2 linked regions of the Pelodiscus sinensis genome follow. The protein of the gene in region 1 purifies or fractionates together with the protein of each later gene. This does not show direct contact. Links are inferred from orthologs where the notes say so. Each region holds a gene or a part of one and is shown on either strand. Other genes may lie near its edges.

Evidence for each region. Proteins that work in one complex are often made in the same cells at the same time.
Region 2: the proteins of VASP (region 1) and PFN1 purify together in Homo sapiens (affinity purification with western blotting; 3 studies listed by BioGRID and IntAct, with this or other methods). This does not show direct contact. The link is inferred for Pelodiscus sinensis from reciprocal best matches to the Homo sapiens genes VASP and PFN1.

The regions. Positions count from the first base shown.
Region 1 is NW_027465849.1:6,816,082-6,823,856, forward strand, and holds the start of VASP (vasodilator-stimulated phosphoprotein), read right to left. Parts: upstream 3,076-7,775; 5' UTR 2,956-3,075; coding exon 2,921-2,955; exon of another isoform or gene 2,840-2,920; coding exon of another isoform or gene 2,835-2,839; intron 1-2,834. UniProt on the Homo sapiens protein: Ena/VASP proteins are actin-associated proteins involved in a range of processes dependent on cytoskeleton remodeling and cell polarity such as axon guidance, lamellipodial and filopodial dynamics, platelet activation and cell migration.
Region 2 is NC_134734.1:8,471,243-8,478,955, reverse strand, and holds the start of PFN1 (profilin-1), read left to right. Parts: upstream 1-4,609; 5' UTR 4,610-4,858; coding exon 4,859-4,990; intron 4,991-7,713. UniProt on the Homo sapiens protein: Binds to actin and affects the structure of the cytoskeleton. At high concentrations, profilin prevents the polymerization of actin, whereas it enhances it at low concentrations. By binding to PIP2, it inhibits the formation of IP3 and DG.

The sequences.
Region 1 (7,775 bases):
CCCCAGAACCATGGAAAGGGCTGGGCTCCCCAGCCAGAAGGGGTGGGGCACCAGCCTGGGAGGCAGCACCTGGGGGGGCGGACTCTGGAGCAGGAAGGGGGGGGGGAAGCAGCTGCCTGTAACCATATAAGGGCAGGTTTGAAGGACAGAGCCTGTTTGTCTCCAGGGGAGGAGGGGGGTTAAACAGGACACAATCCAGAGCTGCTCCCCTCTCCCTGTTTGGGGGATCAGGAACCCAGCCACCCCCAAAACACACCCGGGGAAGGGCTGAGCCCCGACCCACCCTCCTCCACCTGGGGAGACATGGGTGTGGAGGGGGGCTGGGCCGAGGCACCAAAGCTGGGCCTGGACACCCCTCCCCCCATGGAGGGAGAGGCAGCTGCCTCTGGGGAGGAGCAGGGCCAGTTGCAGGAGTCAGGCCAGGACAACCTGCCCTGCTCCGGGGCTGGCCCCTCCCACCCCGGCTCCCCTCAACTTCACCCCGCAGCACCTGCTACCCCAGTCCTGGTGGGGGCTGGGGGGGGGGGGCAGACGGGAGTCTCTGCAGCTAGGGAGGGGGAATCCAGGGGGCCTTGATCTTGTACCATCCCGAGTCCAGGGCTTCCCCCTCCCCCATGCGTCTGTTCCCCCCCCCCCTTCCCTGGGTGGGACCCTGAGTCACTTCCTGCCAAGCCCTGTCCTGCGGGTATGAGGGGGGGGGTTCCACAGCCTACCGCCCCTCCCCTGGCTCCCCCGCTTTCTGGGCACCCTGGGGACAACCCCCAGCAGGGCTGGGTGTGTTCATGACCCCCCCCACACACCTTCATTCCCCCTTGGGGTACCCCAGGAGACCCTCCTGGCCCAGGCCAGACAGCACCTAAGGGGTTCGTGCACCTGACTGCAGCCAACCCCCAGCGCCCAAGCCCCAGGTGTGTGTGGGGGGGCTGGGTGTCTCCACCCTCCCCCCACTTCCAGCAGGCTCTGGTCCCAGCACCCTGGGGTGGGGGGATCCCAGAATGCAATGGGGGTGGAGGGGTCAGGCCCTTCAGCAGGACCCCAGGGTATGAGGTGGGGGGAGAGGCAGGGCTCACCCCGCTTCTGCTGTAGCCCAGGGGCCTGCCAAGAGCCCCCCCCTCCGAACAACACCTCCCCCCCTACAGAACGGGAAGGGGAAGCCGGAGCCTGCCTGTGGCCACTTCCTGCTCTTTAGCAACCCGCAGACGCTGTGGCTCCAGCACCCACAAGCCCGCCCCACACGTCTGCCCCACAGATTCACACCCTCCAAGGAACAGCACCAAAGACAGAGCCCAACCCCCCCCCCCCCCCCAGCCACTCCAGCAGCTCTGGAATGTTTAGTGCCAACAGCTGAGCCCAGCCCAGGCAGGCCAGACCCCACCGGACCCCCCCCCCCCCCAGAGACACAGACAGCTGGGGGTTATGCAGCACCCAGCCCACAGAATGGGGGAACTTTCCTGGGACCCACCCCCAGGCGCAGCTGTGAGCAATGGGGGGTGGGGGGCTGCTCCCACAGGCAGGCATAGGGCCACCCTAAGGGAGGCAGGGGGGCCTGATGCACACACCTCGCCCTGCAGCCAGCCCGGGGTCCATGGGGGGCAGCACCCGGAACCAGCATCACTTGACTCCGGGTTTGGGCAGGGATCCGGGTCCGGGGGAGAAACTGGAGCCAGGATGCCTGAGTTCTGGCCGAGTTCTGCCAGGGGAGGTCAAGGCTGACCCCCACAGTGGGTTGTGACATCACAGACAAGCTAGCCCCCTGCCCCATAGGATCCAGCTCGGACACCCCCCCCCCCCCAAGAGCAGCCCCCTGCCCCACAGGATCCAGCTCGGACACCCCCCCCCCCAAGAGCAGCCCCCTGCCCCACAGGATCCAGCTCGGACACCCCCCCCCCAAGAGCAGCCCCCTGCCCCATAGGATCCAGCTCGGACACCCCCCCCCCCCCCAAGAGCAGCCCCCTGCCCCACAGGATCCAGCTCGGACACCCCCCCCCCCAAGAGCAGCCCCCTGCCCCACAGGATCCAGCTCGGACACCCCCCCCCCCAAGAGCAGCCCCCTGCCCCACAGGATCCAGCTCGGACACCCCCCCCCCCCAAGAGCAGCCCCCTGCCCCACAGGATCCAGCTCGGACACCCCCCCCCCAAGAGCAGCCCCCTGCCCTACACGATCCAGCTCGGACACCCCCCCCAGACCAGCCCCCTACCCCACACGATCCAGCTCGGACACCCCCCCCCCCCCAGACCAGCCCCATAGGATCCAGCTCGGACACCACCCCCGAGACCAGCCCCCTGCCCCATTGGATCCAACTCGGACACCAGCCCCCTGCCCCATTGGATCCAACTCGGACACCAGCCCCCTGCCCCATAGGATCCAACTCGGACACCAGCCCCCCAGACTAGCCCCCTGCCCCATAGGATCCAACTCGGACACCAGCCCCCCAGACTAGCCCCCTGCCCCATAGGATCCAGCTCGGACCCCTCCCCTCCGAGACCAAGAGCGGCTCTCGGGGAGGCGGAACCAGCCCAAGCGATCCTGGGGCCGCCAGTGCTCCGCCCGCCCGAGACAAGCACAACCCCCGCCCCCCAGCCCGGACGCTGGGTTCCTTACCGGGCCAAGCTCTGGGCGGAGGGCCACGGGGATGGGCGCCGGGGGCCACGGTGGGGGCTCAAGGCGCCCCCCGGGGCGGGAGACGGGCCGGGGGGAGGCACCAGAGTGACTCCCAGGGATACCCCTCCTCGCGATTCGGGGGGCGCCGGTCCCTAGTGCCCCCAGGCCGCCGCCCCCCGGGCTCCCCGCGGACAAAGCGCCCGGGGCGCAGGACGCGCGGCCGGTTCCTCACCCCATGGTGCCGGCTCCGGGCGCTCACTCCCGGCCGCAGCGGAGGCGGGGGCCCGGGCCCATGGGCTGCCTGCGGCTCCCGCCTACCTGGGCCCCTGGCTGCCCCGGCTCTGTGGGCGCATGGTCCCGGTCCCGGTCCCCGGCTCCGGCTACTGCGGGCTCCCACCCCTGCTGCGCTCCGGCGCGGCTCCACAATGCACCGCTCGGCCCGCCCCCAGCCGCCGCCCTCCTCCGAGGGGAAGGGCGGAGGGGTGAGCAAGGGGGCAGGTCGCCTGGGGTCTCCGCCCCGGGGACAGCGCTGGGGGAGGGGCTGGGTTCTCCGCCCCGTTGAGAGCGCTGGGGGGGGGGGCGGGGAGGGGCTGGGTTCTCCGCCCCGTTGAGAGCGCTGGGGGGGGTGGTTCTCTGCCCTGCTAGGGGGCGGGCTGGGTTCTCTGCCCCGCTGACAGCGCTGGGGGGGTGGGGGTTCTCTGCCCTGCTAGGGGGCGGGGAGGGGCTGGGTTCTCTGCCCCGCTGACAGCGCTGGGGGGGGGGGGGTTCTCTGCCCCGCTGACAGCGCTGTGGGGGGGGTTCTCTGCCCCGCTAGGGGGCGGGGAGGGGCTGGGTTCTCTGCCCTGCTGACAGCGCTGTGGGGGGGGGTTCTCTGCCCCGCTAGGGGGCGGGGAGGGGCTGGGTTCTCTGCCCCGCTGACAGCGCTGTGGGGGGGGAGGGTTCTCTGCCCCGCTGACAGCGCTGTGGGGGGGGGGTTCTCTGCCCCGCTGGGGGGCGGGGAGGGGCTGGGTTCTCTGCCCCGCTGACAGCGCTGGGGGGGGGGGGTTCTCTGCCCCGCTAGGGGGCGGGGAGGGGCTGGGTTCTCTGCCCCGCTGACAGCGCTGGGGGGGGGGGTTCTCTGCCCCGCTGGGGGGCGGGGAGGGGCTGGGTTCTCTGCCCCGCTGACAGCGCTGTGGGGGGGGGGTTCTCTGCCCCACTAGGGGGCGGGGAGGGGCTGGGTTCTCTGCCCCGCTGACAGCGCTGTGGGGGGGGGGGGTTCTCTGCCCCGCTAGGGGGCGGGGAGGGGCTGGGTTCTCTGCCCCGCTGACAGCGCTGGGGGGGGGGGGTTCTCTGCCCCGCTAGGGGGCGGGGAGGGGCTGGGTTCTCTGCCCTGCTGACAGCGCTGGGGGGGGGGTTCTCTGCCCCGCTGGGGGGCAGGGAGGGGCTGGGTTCTCCGCCCTGCTGAGAGCGTGTGAGCTGGATTCTCTGCCTACTTTGAACTCAAGCCTGGCCACTCTGGGTCAGGCCAGTAGTCCCCCAGCCCAGCGGCCTAGCTCTGACCACACCTGGCGCCGGTTCGCTAGGACAGAGCAATTATCCAGCCATCCATTCCCTGGCCCAGTGGCAGGGGGAGGCGGAGGCCAGAGTCACCCAGAGCATAGGTGACTCTTGGGGCCCATCCGCCCCTCCTTTGATGAACCCAGTTACGCTTCTGGGCTTCCTGGCCTCCCCTGGCGAGGAGTTCCACAGGTTAACTGCAGGGGGAAGTGCTCCCATGTAAACCTACTGCCTGTTGACTTCATCCATTCTTGTGTGAGGTCAAGGGATACATCCCACGGCCTTATCCCCCTCCCCAAACACGAGCATATAGTCCTGCAACCACACCCCCTACCCAGCATCTATCTCTCCTCCAAGCCCGGCCAGGGCCTGGCTTGTCTGTGATGTCACAGCTCGCTGGGGGCGTGGCCATGACCTCCCCTGGCAGGGCTGTGATGTCACAGTGAGTCCCTGGCCACGTGGGGGCCCCAGCCCCACAACCCCAGGGCTCCTGCCTGCACCCCACAGTGCTCCACCCCCAAGCCACTTTATTTGTGCCTGGCTTGCACCTCTCAGCTCCAGCTGTGCTCAGCCAGCCCTCTGGTACCACCTCGGATTGTACCTGCCCCACGCCCCACCTGGCACTGCCAAGCCTGTGTTCCCCTATGGCCAACTGTGTCCAGCCTGCGCCCCCCCAGTTCTGATTGTACCTGGCCTGCATCCGCCCACCCAGCTCTGGGTGCCACGCCAGCCCCTCCACCATTGCGTCCATCTCAGCAGAGCTGGGTGCGCGCGCACATGCACAGCAGATGGGCACATGCACCCAGCGGGGAGATGTGCATACACACACACACAGAGCGGGGGATGTGCACACACACGCACAGCAGATGTGCACACACACACAGAGCAGGGGGATGTGCACACACACATACAGCGGGGGGATGTGCACACACACATACAGCAGGGGGATGCGCGCGCACACACACAACAGGACATGTGCGTGCACCCACACACAGACAGAGCGGGGGGATGTGCACACACACGCACAGCAGATGTGCACACACACACAGAGCAGGGGGATGTGTGCACACACACAGTGGGGGGATGTGCACACACACACATACAGCGGGGGCATGCGTGCGCGCACACACAGCTGGGCATGTGCGGGCACACACACACAGAGCGGGGGATGTGCACGTACACACACACACAGCAGGAAATGTGCACACAGAGCGGGGGATGTGCACGCACACACAGAACAGGAAATGTCCACGCGCGCACACACAGCAGGGGGGGATGTGCACACATGCACAGCAGGAGATGTGCACACACACACACACACATACAGCAGGGGGATGTGCATGTGCGCACACACACAGCAGGATGTGTGCGCACGCACACACACAAAGACAGAGCGGGGGGATGTGCACACACACAGCAGAGGGATGTCCACACACACACACACAGAGGAAATTTGCACACACACAGTGGGGGGATGTACATGCACACAGCAGATGTCTGCGCACACACACACACAGCAGGGGGGATGTGCACACATGCGCACACACACACACACACACACACACACACACACACACACACACTTTCTCTGCTCTCTGGCCCCCCCCCCCGGCAGTCCCCCCAAGCTGTCTGTAGGCAGGCGGCTCCTGCCCTGTCACCTTCCCCGAGGGCAGAGTGGGCGCTCAGCATGGCACTGTGACCCACCGCCGGTGCCCGGCGTGGCCGGGGACACGTTTGGGCGAGGCTGCGCCACCCCCCAGCCAAGAGCCGTTCAACGGGGACCAGTGGCTGTGCCCGCCATACCTGCCTGCTCTTCTCATGGGGGTGCCTCCGCTCCAGTGGGGTCAGTGGCCGTGGCAGGCGTGGTGTCCAATCAGAGCCCAGTGCCAGGCACGTGGCAGGCGTGGCATCCAACCAGAACCAGGCACGTGGCAGGACGGAGGGTGGCTGGGGCCTGCTGCTCTTGCTGGAGGCTGGTGTCCCACGGGGGCTCGGGCCAAGGTTGGGTAGCGCCTGGGCAGGGGTCTGGCTGGGGCAGGGGGAGCAAGGGTCCCAGCTGGGGAAGGCTGGCAGGCAGGGCTGGGGGCACAGGCTCAGGGCCAGGAGGATGTGGGACCTCAGCACAGGAAGTCCAGGGGGCGCTGTGGTGGGGGGGGTACGATCCCGCCAGCCCATGGGCGGGGCCACAGTGAGGGTGGGAGGAGCCTCTACAGCCCGTGGGAGGAGCCACAGTGAGGGTGGGAGGAGCCTCTACAGCCCATGGGAGGAGCCACAGTGAGGATGGGAGGAGCCTCTACAGACCATAGGAGGAGCCACAGTGAGGATGGGAGGAGCCTCTACAGCCCATAGGAGGAGCCACAGTGAAGATGGGAGGAGCCTCTACAGACCATGGGAGGAGCCACATTGAGGGTGGGAGGAGCCTCTACAGCCCATGGGAGGGGCCACAGTGAGGATGGGAGGAGCCTCTACAGCCCATGGGAGGAGCCACAGTGAGGGTGGGAGGAGCCTCTACAGCCCATAGGAGGAGCCACAGTGAGGATGGGAGGAGCCTCTACAGACCATGGGAGGGGCCACAGTGAGGGTGAGTGGGGCTAGAGCCAGCCTGGGCTCCTGCACACTCTGGGGCTGCCCCAGCCCCGCATGCTGGGACCATCGACCTCTGCCCCCTGGGGTAGCTCTGTCCTTACTCCCCTCCCAGCCCCAGCAGCAGGGGGCGCTCTCAGAACCAGCCCCAGCACGGAGCCAAGGGACAAGGAGGCGAACGGGGGTCGGGCAGGGATTAGCTCCCCTGGCATGGGGCCAGCAGGCTCTCCCCCCACCCCACCCCGAGCGGGGGCGCCCCCTGCAGGGTGAGCGGCAGCATGTGCAGCACCTGTCCCCAGAGCAGTGAGCGAGGGGACCCTTAGCCAGCTGGGGGGCGGGGACAGGCAGAGCCGGGGCAGCTGTTCCCCACACACCGTTCCCACTTAGCACCCCCAGGAGGCTACAGGGCCAGTGGCTGGGACGGGGTGAGGACCAGGTTCTGCCCACACACCTGTGCCAGGCTGCCCTGGGGGCTGCACCCCCCCATTGCAGTGGACGGGTCCCTGTTCCCCCCACACACCTAGAGGCTCAGGCCCCTCCCACTTTGAGAGCCGTAGGCCAGGCTGGTCCAGCCCCACGTGCCTGGGAAGGCAGCAGCCACCGCACGAGGGACCAAGGAAACATGGGGAGCTGGAATTAATGTGGCACCGAGGTTGAGGGGGCCCCCTAGCCCCACAGCCCCCTGCCAGCTCAGGTCTGGACTCACCCCCCCCCCCCCCCCAGCTCTGCCATTGCCCTTGCGCTGCTCCCTGGCCTCCCCTCACCCCTTTGTCCTTGAGCAGTGAGTCCCCAGGGTTCAGAGATGCCTCCATGGGAGTTCACCTCCTGCCCCGGGAAGAAGGCACCTGGCTTGTCCGGCCTGGCCACCTCCCCAGCTGCTGTTCCCTGCCACCTGGCTGCCCCACTAGCCACTGTGCCTCACTGCCTGGCCGCTGCACCGGCCACTGCTCCTCCCTGCCTCGCCACCTGGCTGTCCCGCCGGCCACTGCTCCTCCCTGCCTCGCCACCTGGCTGTCCCGCCGGCCACTGCTCCTCCCTGCCTCGCCACCTGGCT
Region 2 (7,713 bases), on another chromosome or scaffold:
TGGGGCTGTGGGGAGCGAGAGATGCAGGGGCCCCAGCTCAGTTTCAAAAGGCTTGCAGAGCCCATACTCAGCCTGACCCATCCCCCATCCTCTGCCCCTCCCCCCACCGACAGGAAGTGAGACTCTCCACCCCTGCCCCCCCACCGCAGAGGAAAAAAGTTGTACTGAAGAAGTAAAAAGTTGCAAACTGACATGTAATTCCTCCGCCAAATAGTCCATGACGCAACTTCTGGGCTGGGCCAATAGGAACCCACAGCTCAGGTTAGGGGTTTCCCTACCTGGTTCATAGGGAGCCTTGTGTGGCCTGGTGTGTCTGAATGGACATGTGTGTGTCTGGATGGGGGAAGGGTGGAGTCACATGTGTTAGCATGTCAGTGGGGAAGAGGGCTGCACATGTATGTCCTGGTGTGTAGATGAGTGGGGCGGATGTGATTGCTCGGAGGGGGGTGTTACCCATGTATCCATGCATACTTGCAGACAAGTGTGTGCATGCTTTTTTTGAATGCTTTGTGCATGGGCACAGTGGGTTCTTGCCTGCAGTCTTGGCCCAGCGTTTGCATGCTGACGTGTTGGTCCATGTTTGTGCGTGTGAGAGAAGCCTAGAGTAGCAGAATAGAGTTCACATGTGTCCATGCATGTCTGAAGTTTGCCTGTGTGCCCCAACATGTGAAATATTAAAATTCCTAGGGCCTGCCTGAGCATGCAGTTTGCCTGTGCTATTGGGCACATGTTGACATATATGATGTATGCATGTGGAAAGGAACATGGGCCAGTATATGACTTGTGGAGCCCTGTTTTGGACCTGGGTGCATTCGGGGGAGTCAGGCCCTCTGGCACTGAGAGGTTCATCTAGATGGCTCTGGGATTTGGACAAGGGGGATTTGAATGATATGGGGGGGCTTTCAAGGGCACATATGGGGGAGGGCGTGAAGTGGGAAATGAGGGAATGAGGTTGCCGGACAGACAGCAGATGGAGTATGGTGGGAATAGGATGCCCTGCTGAAAAGGCGGTACATGAGGGGGAAGTTGGTGCAATGCAAATAAAGGAGACCCTAGGGGTGCATAGTGCTATGGGGATACACGAGTGAAAGGGGGTACAGTCTGAAAAGGAGGTGCTGTGGGGTACACGAGGGAAAGGGGGTGCAGTGTGAAAAGGGGCGCTGTGGGAGCACATGAGGGAAATGGGTGCAGTGTGAAAAGGAGGCGCTGTGGGGTACCTGAGAGAAGGGGGGGCAGCGTGAAAAGGGGCGCTGTGGGGTACACGAGGGAAAGGGGGTGCAGCGTGGAAAGGGGCGCTGCGGGGTACACGAGGGAAAGGGGGTGCAGCGTGGAAAGGGGCGCTGCGGGGTACACGAGGGAAAGGGGGTGCAGCGTGGAAAGGGGCGCTGCGGGGTACACGAGGGAAAGGGGGTGCAGCGTGGAAAGGGGCGCTGCGGGGTACACGAGGGAAGGGGGTGCAGCGTGGAAAGGGGCGCTGCGGGGTACACGAGGGAAAGGGGGTGCAGCGTGGAAAGGGGCGCTGCGGGGTACACGAGGGAAAGGGGGTGCAGCGTGGAAAGGGGCGCTGCGGGGTACACGAGGGAAGGGGGTGCAGCGTGGAAAGGGGCGCTGCGGGGTACACGAGGGAAGGGGGTGCAGCGTGGAAAGGGGCGCTGCGGGGTACACGAGGGAAGGGGGTGCAGCGTGGAAAGGGGCGCTGCGGGGTACACGAGGGAAGGGGGTGCAGCGTGGAAAGGGGCGCTGCGGGGTACGCGAGGGAAAGGGGGTGCAGCGTGGAAAGGGGCGCTGCGGGGTACGCGAGGGAAAGGGGGTGCAGCGTGGAAAGGGGCGCTGCGGGGTACGCGAGGGAAAGGGGGTGCAGCGTGGAAAGGGGCGCTGCGGGGTACGCGAGGGAAGGGGGTGCAGCGTGGAAAGGGGCGCTGCGGGGTACGCGAGGGAAAGGGGGTGCAGCGTGGAAAGGGGCGCTGCGGGGTACGCGAGGGAAAGGGGGTGCAGCGTGGAAAGGGGCGCTGCGGGGTACGCGAGGGAAGGGGGTGCAGCGTGGAAAGGGGCGCTGCGGGGTACGCGAGGGAAAGGGGGTGCAGCGTGGAAAGGGGCGCTGCGGGGTACGCGAGGGAAAGGGGGTGCAGCGTGGAAAGGGGCGCTGCGGGGTACGCGAGGGAAAGGGGGTGCAGCGTGGAAAGGGGCGCTGCGGGGTACGCGAGGGAAAGGGGGTGCAGCGTGGAAAGGGGCGCTGCGGGGTACGCGAGGGAAAGGGGGTGCAGCGTGGAAAGGGGCGCTGCGGGGTACGCGAGGGAAAGGGGGTGCAGCGTGGAAAGGGGCGCTGCGGGGTACGCGAGGGAAAGGGGGTGCAGCGTGGAAAGGGGCGCTGCGGGGTACGCGAGGGAAAGGGGGTGCAGCGTGGAAAGGGGCGCTGCGGGGTACGCGAGGGAAAGGGGGTGCAGCGTGGAAAGGGGCGCTGCGGGGTACGCGAGGGAAGGGGGTGCAGCGTGGAAAGGGGCGCTGCGGGGTACGCGAGGGAAAGGGGGTGCAGCGTGGAAAGGGGCGCTGCGGGGTACGCGAGGGAAGGGGTGCAGCGTGGAAAGGGGCGCTGCGGGGTACGCGAGGGAAAGGGGGTGCAGCGTGGAAAGGGGCGCTGCGGGGTACGCGAGGGAAGGGGGTGCAGCGTGGAAAGGGGCGCTGCGGGGTACGCGAGGGAAGGGGGGTGCAGCGTGGAAAGGGGCGCTGCGGGGTACGCGAGGGAAAGGGGGTGCAGCGTGGAAAGGGGCGCTGCGGGGTACGCGAGGGAAAGGGGGTGCAGCGTGGAAAGGGGCGCTGCGGGGTACGCGAGGGAAAGGGGGTGCAGCGTGGAAAGGGGCGCTGCGGGGTACGCGAGGGAAGGGGTGCAGCGTGGAAAGGGGCGCTGCGGGGTACGCGAGGGAAAGGGGGTGCAGCGTGGAAAGGGGCGCTGCGGGGTACGCGAGGGAAAGGGGGTGCAGCGTGGAAAGGGGCGCTGCGGGGTACGCGAGGGAAGGGGTGCAGCGTGGAAAGGGGCGCTGCGGGGTACGCGAGGGAAAGGGGGTGCAGCGTGGAAAGGGGCGCTGCGGGGTACGCGAGGGAAAGGGGGTGCAGCGTGGAAAGGGGCGCTGCGGGGTACGCGAGGGAAAGGGGGTGCAGCGTGGAAAGGGGCGCTGCGGGGTACGCGAGGGAAAGGGGGTGCAGCGTGGAAAGGGGCGCTGCGGGGTACGCGAGGGAAAGGGGGTGCAGCGTGGAAAGGGGCGCTGCGGGGTACGCGAGGGAAAGGGGGTGCAGCGTGGAAAGGGGCGCTGCGGGGTACGCGAGGGAAAGGGGGTGCAGCGTGGAAAGGGGCGCTGCGGGGTACGCGAGGGAAGGGGGTGCAGCGTGGAAAGGGGCGCTGCGGGGTACGCGAGGGAAAGGGGGTGCAGCGTGGAAAGGGGCGCTGCGGGGTACGCGAGGGAAAGGGGGTGCAGCGTGGAAAGGGGCGCTGCGGGGTACGCGAGGGAAAGGGGGTGCAGCGTGGAAAGGGGCGCTGCGGGGTACGCGAGGGAAAGGGGGTGCAGCGTGGAAAGGGGCGCTGCGGGGTACGCGAGGGAAAGGGGGTGCAGCGTGGAAAGGGGCGCTGCGGGGTACGCGAGGGAAAGGGGGTGCAGCGTGGAAAGGGGCGCTGCGGGGTACGCGAGGGAAAGGGGGTGCAGCGTGGAAAGGGGCGCTGCGGGGTACGCGAGGGAAAGGGGGTGCAGCGTGGAAAGGGGCGCTGCGGGGTACGCGAGGGAAGGGGGTGCAGCGTGGAAAGGGGCGCTGCGGGGTACGCGAGGGAAAGGGGGTGCAGCGTGGAAAGGGGCGCTGCGGGGTACGCGAGGGAAAGGGGGTGCAGCGTGGAAAGGGGCGCTGCGGGGTACGCGAGGGAAAGGGGGTGCAGCGTGGAAAGGGGCGCTGCGGGGTACGCGAGGGAAGGGGGTGCAGCGTGGAAAGGGGCGCTGCGGGGTACGCGAGGGAAGGGGGTGCAGCGTGGAAAGGGGCGCTGCGGGGTACGCGAGGGAAAGGGGGTGCAGCGTGGAAAGGGGCGCTGCGGGGTACGCGAGGGAAGGGGGTGCAGCGTGGAAAGGGGCGCTGCGGGGTACGCGAGGGAAGGGGGTGCAGCGTGGAAAGGGGCGCTGCGGGGTACGCGAGGGAAAGGGGGTGCAGCGTGGAAAGGGGCGCTGCGGGGTACGCGAGGAAAGGGGGTGCAGCGTGGAAAGGGGCGCTGCGGGGTACGCGAGGGAAAGGGGGTGCAGCGTGGAAAGGGGCGCTGCGGGGTACGCGAGGGAAAGGGGGTGCAGCGTGGAAAGGGGCGCTGTGGGGTACGCGAGGGAAAGGGGGTGCAGCGTGGAAAGGGGCGCTGTGGGGTACGCGAGGGAAAGGGGGTGCAGTGTGGAAAGGGGCGCTGTGGGGTACGCGAGGGAAAAGGGGGTGGTGGGACCCCACTGGGGTGCATTGCGGAAAGGGGTGCCTAGTTCCGGGGTGCACGGAAAAGAAGAAATAGATCCGATCGGGGGGCGGGCCGGCGGATGGATTCCAGGCTCGCTGAGCCCCTCCCCCGAGGGGAGCTGGCCTATGTAAAAGCCGCGCGCCGGGCCGGGGGGGCCCATGCGTTTTGCCTTTTGCACTTCTGCCGCTCTCCAGTGCCTGCTCCTCCCCGCGCCCAGGCCGGAGTGGGCGAGTCCGGTACGTCCCCCGACCGGCAGCACCTCCCCCCACACACACTCCCGCCGCCGCGTGCCACAGGGCGCGGTTGATTCGGTCGCGTCCGGCGGGGCCTCTCCGGGATCGTGCAGGGCGCGCGCCCGGTCCACCACCAGCAGCAACAGCAGCAGCAGCCATGAGCGGCTGGTCCTCCTACATCGACAACCTCATGGCGGACGGCACCTGCCAGGATGCGGCCATCGTGGGCTACAAGGACACCCCGTCCGTGTGGGCCGCCACTCCGGGCAAGACGCTGGCCAACATCACGGTGAGGCCCTGGCGGGGGAGAGGGGTGCCTTGCAAAGGCAGGGGAGATGGCGAGGCGCATTGCAAAAGAGGGGCCCGGATTCCAAAGAGGGGAGGCAAGTGCCTGGGAGGGCTGCATTGGGAAAGTGGGGTGCGTGGCAAAACAGGGGACCCCGGGAGGGTGCACTGAAAGAGAGGGGAGGCAGGAAGTGCTTGGGAGGGCTGCATTGCAAAGAGGAGGCGGCTGGGGAATGACTGGGGGTATCATTAGAAAGTAGGGGTCCCTTGCAGAAGAGTTTGTGCAGGGGGTATAGGAAAGGGGGCAGGGAGCCTGGATTCCAAAGAGGGGAGGCCGGAAGTGCATGGAGGGCAGGGGGTGTATATAGCAGAAGGGGATAACGGGGACATTGCTAAAGAGGGCGGAGGGAAAGTAGGGAGTGTTGGTGTAAGTAGATGTGGGTGCACTTGAGAGAGGGAGATCCGCAGGAGGGATCAGGCCCTTGTGGGGTGTAGTGCACAAATAGGCCCGAGTGTATCTGGGTGAAATGGGGTGCTTGGAGTCGGGGGGAGGTGTTAGATCGCCAGGGTGAAAAAGAGGAACTGGAGGGACAGGGTGATGGACGCACATGGAGAGTGGGGGAGACCCTGTGGCTGCAAAAAAAGTTTGCAAAGTCTTTAGGGGAGGAAATAACCCACAGTTAGCAGCGAACAGCAACCCCCACGACTTCCTTCTCTGCAGTAGCCTCCCTTTCTCACTACCAGCACCCCTTTCTTTGTGGAAAGAAAGAAAAAGCCACTTCCTCTTGAAAAGCCTCACAGCATGGGGGGGACCTTGGTTCCCCCCCAGCTTCCAGTTCCTTCCAAGGCTGCTTTGCAAATAAGGGCCAAGAAGGACCCCTGGGGGCTCTCAGACTCCATCCCTCCCAGTGGGTGTGAATAGGGCCTAGCTAGCACCTTCTTGCAGGCTTTGCGGCCAGCCCCACCCTGCTGCTGACTACAGGGCCCAGGCAGCTACCAGGAGGAAATGACTCAAGAAGAGACGGAAGGGAGGCGGGGGGGGGGGGGGGAGGACATGAGGCCTATATCTGTCCCTGCCTGTGCAAGGCAAACTGGCTCCAAAGTGTCAGAATTCCCTGATGAGTCTTATCCCACCCTCTGAGACAGGGATGAAAACACAGTTCATCTGCTAGCCTAGACATGCAAGTTTTTAGCTTTATTTTTTTACTGCATTGGAAATCCGATTTCCTGGTTCTTTATGGTGCTTTCATGGCTGCCGTGCCCCAGAGATGGCTGTATCTCAGGGCCAAAGATCCCTGTAAGAGGAGCTGCCTCACCACAGAGCCAGCTGCAGCTGGCCTCCATCCTTGTGGCAGAGTTTTAAAAGTCTAACTTCATGTTGCATCCCTCAGAAGCCCCCCTCTTGTGCACTTTCAACCTGCATGAATTGCAAACTGCAGCATCAGGTTGCAGATATAGAGTTGGGGGGAGAGGGGGAGGCTGCCAGACTTGAGTGCTGGGGCTCAGCAGTTGCTGTCTTGAATCAGGAATTCTTGTGCAAAAAAATTCCCTTCTCTCCCCGCTAGCAGAGAAGAAACTCTTGTAAACTTCTCAGAAAGCCAGCTACCCCCTCTGCTGGGTTAATAAAAAGGGTGGAGGCGGGAAGCAAGTTTACCGTCTGTCTGTATTTAATCTTTTCCTTTCACTGCCACGTCTTTGCCTGCTGCTGCTGCGGGCCTGAATCTGTCTCTCTTCTAATCTTTCCAGATCTCCCTTTTTTCCTGTTCCCCTCCTCCCTGCTTGCAAAAACAAGTTCAGTTCAGCCTCTGCTTCCCATTTCTGTGTTTTAAAAAAAACAAATCCCCTGCCTCTGCTCCCAGTTCAGGGCCTAACTTTTTCTCCCTTCTTGTGGAAACTTTTTGGCTGAGAGTACAAAATATTTTCCCGCTTCAAATGCCTTCCTAGCTAGTGTCTAAGGCTGATTCCTCTCCCTTCCTGTCTGGAAAACAGTAAGGGTGTTTAGAGTCTCCTGCCATCTTGTCCAGCTGTCCTGGCCAGAAAGAGGATGGGAAACCAACTAGGATCCTGTTGGATTCCAGATGAGAGTGTATGTGTTTATTCCAGGCTAGGGATGTAACTGGTTAACAGGTAAGCTTCACCTTTACCTCACCATTATCTGGTAAGGGTGATGCTTACCAGTTAAGGGATCTCGGTTAAATGGTTAACTTTACCTTACACCAGGTAATTGGGACTTTACATGCCTACTTCAGGTCCTTTACAGGAGCGGCTCTGATCCAAAGTGACTTGGGTATGAGTCAGCACAGAGCTGGTACAGACCCATCCCTGTCCCGCTCCTGCAGTTGTACAAGTGTGTCAGCATACCCCCGCCCCCCCTGCCCTGGCTGCTGCTTTTAGATGGGTGAACATGGGGAGGGGGGATCTGGAACACTTCTCCCTTCCCCTCATTGCTGCCAGGACCAGCAGTCTCTACTCTCCCCTAGAATGGGTCAGGGATGAACTGCTCATGTGCTGGGGCCCATCTGGGCCCCCTCTTTTTCTAGTGCTGTCGGGAGGGACACTCACAGGACCTTAGCGAGGCAGATTCTGGCATATCCAGGTCACCTGAGGGGGAATACCATGCCCATAACATCCATGGGGATCCCCTCCTTAATATCTTGTCTCCCAGGATTTCTGGGTTCTCTCCCTGGCTCTGGGAGGTGAGTGAGGGCTGGTGGATTAGAGGAGGGA